Lepisosteus oculatus: one gene and its partner. The protein of the gene in region 1 interacts with the protein of each later gene in a pairwise test. Links are inferred from orthologs where the notes say so. Each region holds a gene or a part of one and is shown on either strand. Other genes may lie near its edges.

Evidence for each region. The genes of interacting proteins can lie anywhere in the genome.
Region 2: the proteins of ankyrin repeat and SAM domain-containing protein 1A (region 1) and dok3 interact in a two-hybrid assay, tested with the Homo sapiens proteins (2 studies listed by BioGRID and IntAct). The link is inferred for Lepisosteus oculatus from reciprocal best matches to the Homo sapiens genes ANKS1A and DOK3.

Annotation. Positions count from the first base shown.
Region 1 is NC_090700.1:29,936,342-29,940,093, forward strand, and holds the start of ankyrin repeat and SAM domain-containing protein 1A, read left to right. Parts: upstream 1-1,062; 5' UTR 1,063-1,487; coding exon 1,488-1,672; intron 1,673-2,691; exon of another isoform or gene 2,692-2,713; intron 2,714-3,752. UniProt on the Homo sapiens protein: Regulator of different signaling pathways. Regulates EPHA8 receptor tyrosine kinase signaling to control cell migration and neurite retraction.
Region 2 is NC_090706.1:38,037,604-38,041,355, reverse strand, and holds the start of dok3 (docking protein 3), read left to right. Parts: upstream 1-911; 5' UTR 912-1,258; coding exon 1,259-1,315; intron 1,316-2,962; coding exon 2,963-3,268; intron 3,269-3,752. UniProt on the Homo sapiens protein: DOK proteins are enzymatically inert adaptor or scaffolding proteins. They provide a docking platform for the assembly of multimolecular signaling complexes. DOK3 is a negative regulator of JNK signaling in B-cells through interaction with INPP5D/SHIP1.

The DNA of each region.
Region 1 (3,752 bases):
GATCCCGACCCGGGAAGAGAAGAAAACGCAAGAAACAGCTGGTCTGCCAGGGGTGTTGGGTTTGCTGGGCGTACAGAAAAAGATGAAGAATCTTTTAATGAACAACCGCATTTGAAGTGAAGTGACCTGATCAGTGCCATAACTGCATTAGTAAGGAAGCTGCTGTCTGAAACTCAGCAGACTGTATTCAAATATTGCTTTTCTACATATGACTATGGAACTGCACTACAGGAATTAACCATGGGAACGGAATTTTAGTGCGGAGGAGGGCAAAGCCTTCAAATTCCATTATCTGGATAATACATTTTAGGAGAACATAACAAACGGTTAAATATAAAACTAGGAAATAAAGTTGCCTCCTGTAAATAAGCAATTGATTATTTTTTTGCTCTCCTACCCTAAGTCTAACTTGGCAGGCACACCACGCAACAGCCCACAGGAGTAACCTGCTGACTCCACAGAGAAGACACCCCAGCACAGAAGAATATCCGACATCCAGGCAGGTCGGTACCAGGACTGAGCTTGGGTGGGGCAGGAGAGTTTAAAGTCACCCTACCCGACAAAATCCATTTCACGAGCTATACCTGGAACAAACCGTGTCGATTAAAATGTATTTCTCACAAATAGAAGCTCAACCTGTTTAGGATTCAGCTCCATTACTGGCTTCAGAGATAACGTCTACATAAGCAAAAACCACAGCCTCTTAGACTACACTTAAGGGCTCTAGCCCACGCGTGCTATGCTCCGCAATTTTGCCCACCCAAATAAAAGTCCCCCACATATCAATTTATTTCAGTATTTGCAGGCTGAACAGCCCTATCTGACTTACACTTGTTAATAGCGGATATCCGTTATAGTTAATGAAGTGTATGTGGTAATATTGTTTTCTCGTGTTTGGTAGTTCCTTTAATTTGTAGACACATCTAAATACATTCTGATACATTTAACGTGTTACATCTGATTTGTTTCCGACACAAAGAAACTGATACGAATATTTATTTCTTTGTGCTGAGCTGCATTAAAACGAAATGCGATTGTCTTGCAATTCTTGGCATTCTCAGCGCATTATTAAAGTGACTTAAATCCAGACTTGTGGGGGAGGTAGTGGGTGATAGGATTTCACTACCGGTTGTACCAGGTATGGGGTAATGGGGCTGTTGTGAAATGACGTTGGAAAGTAACCAAATGACATCATGAGGAGGAGGCTGTCCTAAGGAAGTGACGTGTCGGGGGGGCAGTCGGAGGAAGTTTGGCCGGTGGTGGTGCTGAAAGAAACTTTCCCTGGAGCGGCGGAGTGGAGCAGGGATCCGGGGCGCGAGTTGCCGCGAGGAAAAACATCGATCAACTGTGGAGGATTATTGTCAGTGGGAGCATTGCTGTTGGAGCCTGGATACGCGTCTTGGCCTCTGGGACACCAGGCTGAAAGGGAATCGCCTGAGCCGCTGCCTTGCGTGTGCCTCCCTCTTTGGCTCCATTCTCGAGCCGAGATGGGGAAGGAGCAGGAGCTCCTGGAGGCTGCCCGCACTGGGAATCTGGCCGCCGTCGAGAAGCTGCTATCCGGCAAGCGGCAGTCGGCGGGGATCGGTGGAGGGTCCTCGGGAGGCGGAGGGAGCGGCGGCGGAGGAGGCGGCGGTCACAGTTCCTCATCTCACCCGCTTTCGAGTTTGCTCAGGTGAGAGGTGGGGGGAAGACCGGACCTGCCGGTGCAGGTACAAGGAAAGGGAGAAGGGGTCCGGCCCGGGTGGAGGAGGAAAGCAAGAGAAGGAGGAGGGGGGGTTTGTGCAAAACGCGGTTTGAAGATTATTATTGAGTGGGTGAAAGAGTGAGTCTTCAGAATGCCTAAGCGTAACCCTGGGTGTCCAAAGCACACCCCCCAAGATTTAATCGTTTTTTTCTTGGACAAATACAGTTTTGAGCCGATAACAAACGATCTGATAGACCCAGTTCAGCCCACGTCTTTGCAAATATTTTTTTCCCCTCAACTCTCCTGTCTCTGACGCGGACCTCAGCACACCTTTGCTATCGGGTTGCGCCGGGCAAACATTCTTTGAATATTTGCTTCCACATTTCAAGAAGTCGACCTCCCTTTCCTTACCTCGCCATGTTTAATAACACATTACGGGCTGGTGCACACTGCAAGGGAATCCGTCTTTTGTTTGGCGCTTGATATGCTCGAAATCAGTTCGTGGGAAAAACGTGTGACAAATTTGGTTGGGTTTATGCAGATGTCGCAAGATATCGCTACTGTCATTTTTTTCTTTTGTGTAGTTGATCGCAAGGCACCCACTTCGATTAATTTTGACGTGCGATATTAAGAACACCTGACAATTATTTCCCCATGAAGCTGATGAAAAATACAAGAGACAACAGAAGAGCGTCACAACACGAAGAGACGTTATAATCCCTTTAACATATCAGACACCGACCAAGAAATAGGTCATGATTATTTTTGCCTTCGTTGCGCTGTTTTGCTGTTTTGTATATGCTTCCCCGGTCGTTTGTTTTGTGGTTTCGTGTTGTTTGTGCACACTTTCGAGTTTGCATCTTTTTTAAAACAATATCAGTAAACAACGCGAAAACGTCTACGATGCCGCTCGTTTTTCCACGCGTGAAATCTGGGACTGAAACGTTTTCTGTTCTGTGGGTTTTCACCGGTGCGCGGGCCGGGTGGACTGGACTCCCCCGCGGTACCTGGGCGCGCAGGAGGGGCGAGGGTGTGGAGAGGGGCACTGCGTCCGGCGTGCAAGGAGCTGTCCGTGCTGCGGTCATTCATACTCCTAGTAGTCCAGCATGTGTGAATTGCACTCCTCCTCCTTCTCCTGAGCGCTCTCGGCGAGATGTGTACTGTAAATACGAACAGTGTGCATTTAAAAAAGACGCCCGTAGTCTCTCACAGCCTTAGCAAGCGCGGAGCTGAGCCACCCTGCAGGCGTGTGTCACCGACCTGACTTCGAAACCTAACTCCAAGCAGCTAACGCGTCACCTCTTTTAATTGCAGAAAATGTAATTAAACATTGAAAGGAGGTAGAAAACTGCAGTTTAATTTCATCAGAAACTTAAATCGGAGAAGCTGAACGAGGGTGCAGCGAAATTCATTTCTGATAAGGAAAGAGAGCCGTTTTCGTGTCTGTTAAGTGGTTCTTTAAGCGTCTGTTCTTCAGTAACTGTGTTTCCTCCTAATCTGTAATAATTTAATCTGGACACTGACGGAAATAGCCGAACGCATGTGCCTCTTAAAACCGTACAGTTGCCTAACGCTATATTGCACAAAGCATCTTTACAATGGCGAGTCTTGACGATGTCTATATATAGATACAGGCTTCGATTACGAAATCCTTTCAGACAAATTAACGCTTACAATTTAAGGTTCGTTTAAGATTTTCATGTCGAAAGAGTCATTAAGTCATTAAGACCCCTTTTCCTTTTACTGTTCTGGTAACCGTTTTTTTAAACGGTTTGGAAGTAGTGTCCCTGAAAGAAGATTTAAAAACACTAAAGATGGTAAAGCTGTTACTGTATGAAGGTGCTACCTCCTCTCGTTTCATCGGTTACCTCCCCCGAAAAGATGACCGAATGAATTATCTGATAAAAAGGGGAACGCGGTAAAAGAAATTATGACTCCTGTTATAGCGCATCTATGGGCGGAGGGCGGAGATAACTCACACTCCGTAAACATCGACTTGATGCGTCGTAAAATTAGTCCTGACATGCTGCGCGGTACTTGATGTAATTACATTAAAACCCTCTTAATC
Region 2 (3,752 bases), on another chromosome or scaffold:
GTGCCGCTGTGTAACGTTAAACTTAAGGTTAAGCTGTAAATTTAAGCTGCTACATTGGAATAATGTAAATAAAAGAACAGTAAACCTGATTCCCTGATTCTTTTCTTTCTGAGTGATAGTCATAGTTTAATAATGAAAAAGCACATACAGTATGTATGGTAGTTTGTCAAGAAAGCATGCGAGTGTCTTTTGCATGTTTTAGGTGTCACAACGCCTGTTTTCACATGTGAATGAGTGGCACGTGATAACCCAATAGGTTTGAGTTCCGTCTCTTATGTTGAGCTGCTTAGTCCTTGAGGAGTTTGATGGTTCTGGTATTGATTTTGATGTGATTGAGATTGCAGCGGCAGCTTGATACTGGTCTTATCTCAGCTTTTGAGAGCAAAATCGTCCGCTTTGTAGAACTTTGCATGTGCCTTGTAGCTCCCCGATCAAGGCCTACTCTTTACACCAGGGGTCTCTAACTCCTCCAACTCCCAGACCAGCAGTTTTATTAGTAACTTGTTTATATGTAGCAATTTGCCTGTGATAAATGAAATGGATGATCTGGTATAGTAGAATTCATTAAGACCAAAAACCAGAACACTCTTCAATTGAAGTGTTTTTTATCTTTAAAAAATGTGAGTTTGGGGTGACCTCTTTAACTAACTGGAGTGGGGATCTGCAGAACCAGATTTAGAGACCCCTGCTTTAAGCCATACAGTGTTATCCAGACAATGTACTATGTCCATTTCGGAGACTATTAAAAATAAAAAAAGTTTTCCTACTTTGCATTTTCTGAATTAAAACAAGCTTGTTCTTGTTTTAAACCCCAGTAGTGCAAATCGTTGAGAACTGATTTACATTTCTGAGTTGGCCGGTTTTATTTTTAAAAAAGCTGATTTTATTTTTTTACTTCAGAGGGCACGTGAAATGTTTGATGTAGATGGAGTTAACTGGGGGCAGGGCGCATGCAGTGCATAGTTCAGACAGGACCCACAGCTACATTTCAGTTGTAAAACCAAGCGGTGTTCACTGAAAGAGTGATCATTTTCTAGTGGTGGAAAGGAAGCTGCAACCTTTTGTCCTCTTCTCCAACCATTGAAGGGCCCCGCAAGCACGTGACTCCTGCTCGGGGCTATGAAATCAGACCACTGTGTGCTGAAATGCCGTCCTGTCACTGGGAAGTCGCTGCTCGCCCACAGAGGAAGCTGTGCCCTGGACTGTGAGCTCAGGCTGTCAGCCTCGGCGCCCAGCTTGCCTGTGCTTCTGCAGCGCCATGGAACAGCCTGCCAGGGAGGGAATGTTATACATGCAAGGTGCCAAGTTTGGGATGGTGAGTTTGCGCCTCTCACTTGCTTGTTCTGTAGGTATCGGCCCCAAAGTGCAGCTGTAGTTAATGCCTTTGACATGCTACAGTATTTGTCATTTGACTTTAGCATATCAGACATGATTTGGAGTCGTCAGGCTGCTAACTCTTAGGATACCAGTGGATGTAGCTTAAATGAATATTATCCTCCACACTCTGAAGTATCCATTTCTGAGCTTTCATTCACGCAAGGAGCAATACTCATGTTTAATGTTCACGATATGTGCTCTGAGACTGAGAATACAGAGTGAGCATCCTTAGAAAATCTGAGATAAATTTTGCTTCGTTTCTGGCAATTCAGTAAAGAAATGTAAAGGCATTTCTGTTCTGCATCCTATGTTTATTGATAATAAATCCGTACAGTGGGCAAACATAATATAAGGCGTTTGGTTATTCATCAAGTTTTTGTTCACAAATATTTATTATTTCCCTTTTTTATCTGAATTATATTTGTTTTAACTCACATTATGTGAAATGAAATCAAAAACTACCAATCAAAATTCAATCAATAGAGGATCGTAAAACCATGAAGAACAACCCTTATGCGACTTAATGCTTCCATTGCTTTTTTTTTTCATATGGCCAACAGCAATCGTATTAAACATAAAAAATCATGGGCATGATCATGGAATTTGTGTTCTTTACTCTTACTGGGCCAGATCTAAAGTGAGTGTGTGGAGTTTTTGTTTCTGTTTGGTGGTTTAGGGGAATTAAGTTTTTGTTTGAATTTCATAAATGAAACAATGGAGTATTCTTCACATTTCTTATATGCTGCCTTGAGTTCAATTAAAAGAATCCCTAAAAACTCCTGACTTAATATGATGGCCAGTTTTTGGCATTACTTGATGCGTACTCAAGCATAATAACTAATCAGGGCTTTCTTGCCTTTAATATATACAGTTCTTGCTAGTTATCCATTGGAACCATCTGGCCTCATCTAGAATGTGCTGTTGTTTTAAAAAAATCTATGATTTTATATACAATTATGCTGCATCACATTGTCCTTTTGAGATGGTTTATAATCTGGGTTGAGTATCTAATTTTTGTAAACACTTCTCTAACTCACAGGAAACGGCCTGGCTATGAAGAAACATGTCTATTTTCCTGTTTGCTGTCATTAATATGTTCCCTACATCTGTGTTTCTAAGAAGCAGAATTCTGCCTACATTTTGTTGTGAAATAAAATGGACTACTTGTAGATTTTTCTGTTCCAGTTTATTTACTTTGCATAGATCTTTTTTCCACATCTGGTTTTTTAATCAATTAGTTTTTTATAAGTTCCCTTTTTCTGTTATGCTTTCTGATGTTTACAGAAGTTGCTGTTCCTTTCTCGCTGCAGGGTGGAAAATGTGGTCCAATTTGTAGTATTTTTTTTTCTTTCGTGCTGTATGTGTGCAGCTCGTACTGGTTGCCAAGTCTTTGTCTGTTGCAGAATCACCAGTGTGTGCTACAAGAGAGGAATTGAACAAGGGTTAGGTGTAGGCTAGCAAAACAAAGACAGATGTCTGGCACGATAGAAAATGGGGAAACTCCACGGAAGGCACTCTGTGTTTCTCTGTGAAACAAGGCAGTGTCTTTGTCTTTCTCTAAGAGTGCTCTGCTTTATCTGTGCAGAAGAGCTGGAAGAGAACTTGGGTGATGCTCTTCCAGGCCAGCCCCTATGGGATCGGCCGTGTGGAGCTGTGTGACATCAGAGACGGGGGGAGTGGGGGTGTCGCTGCAACAGGGAAGCAGGGCCTGAAGAAGACCGACAAAAAGGTGATTCGCCTGGACGACTGCGTCAGCATCACCTCGGCCCCCCATGAGAGCTGCCCCAAGGACAGCATCGCCTTCTACCTCAACACCACCCAGCGCACGTACACTCTGGCGTCAGAGCAAGCCCAAGAGTGGATCACCAAGCTCTGCCAGCTGGCGTTTCAGGTATGACCCAGCAGAGTGCAACTGGTCTGAGGAAGGGGGCTGCAGTGCAGACTAAAAGTCATGCTTACACAGACTATTCTACCAAGGGTGAAGAAGACTTCTATATAGCCTGGCAATATTAAGGGGTGCTTTATATGTATTGAGAAGCCTACTGTGATAGAATCTATGGACAGTCTCATGTTATATAATAGTAAGGTGCAGAGGCCTTAAACCTATTTTGGTTTATCACATAGCAACGTAAAAGGTCTCTCAACATTTCCTCATCTTCCAGCTGGCATTATTCCGGATAATCATTACAATGTAGAATTGCCAGTACTGTTCTATTTCATTCTAACAACAAAGAAAGTATTTCATAGACTGGAATGTCAAGCAGAACAGAGCCTGGCAGCAAGTTACAGAATGTCTCATGTATAGATGAGACCAGTTATACACCATGGTTGTCTGAATGATCAGTGTTTAACCACAATCTGTTGCTTGATTAAAG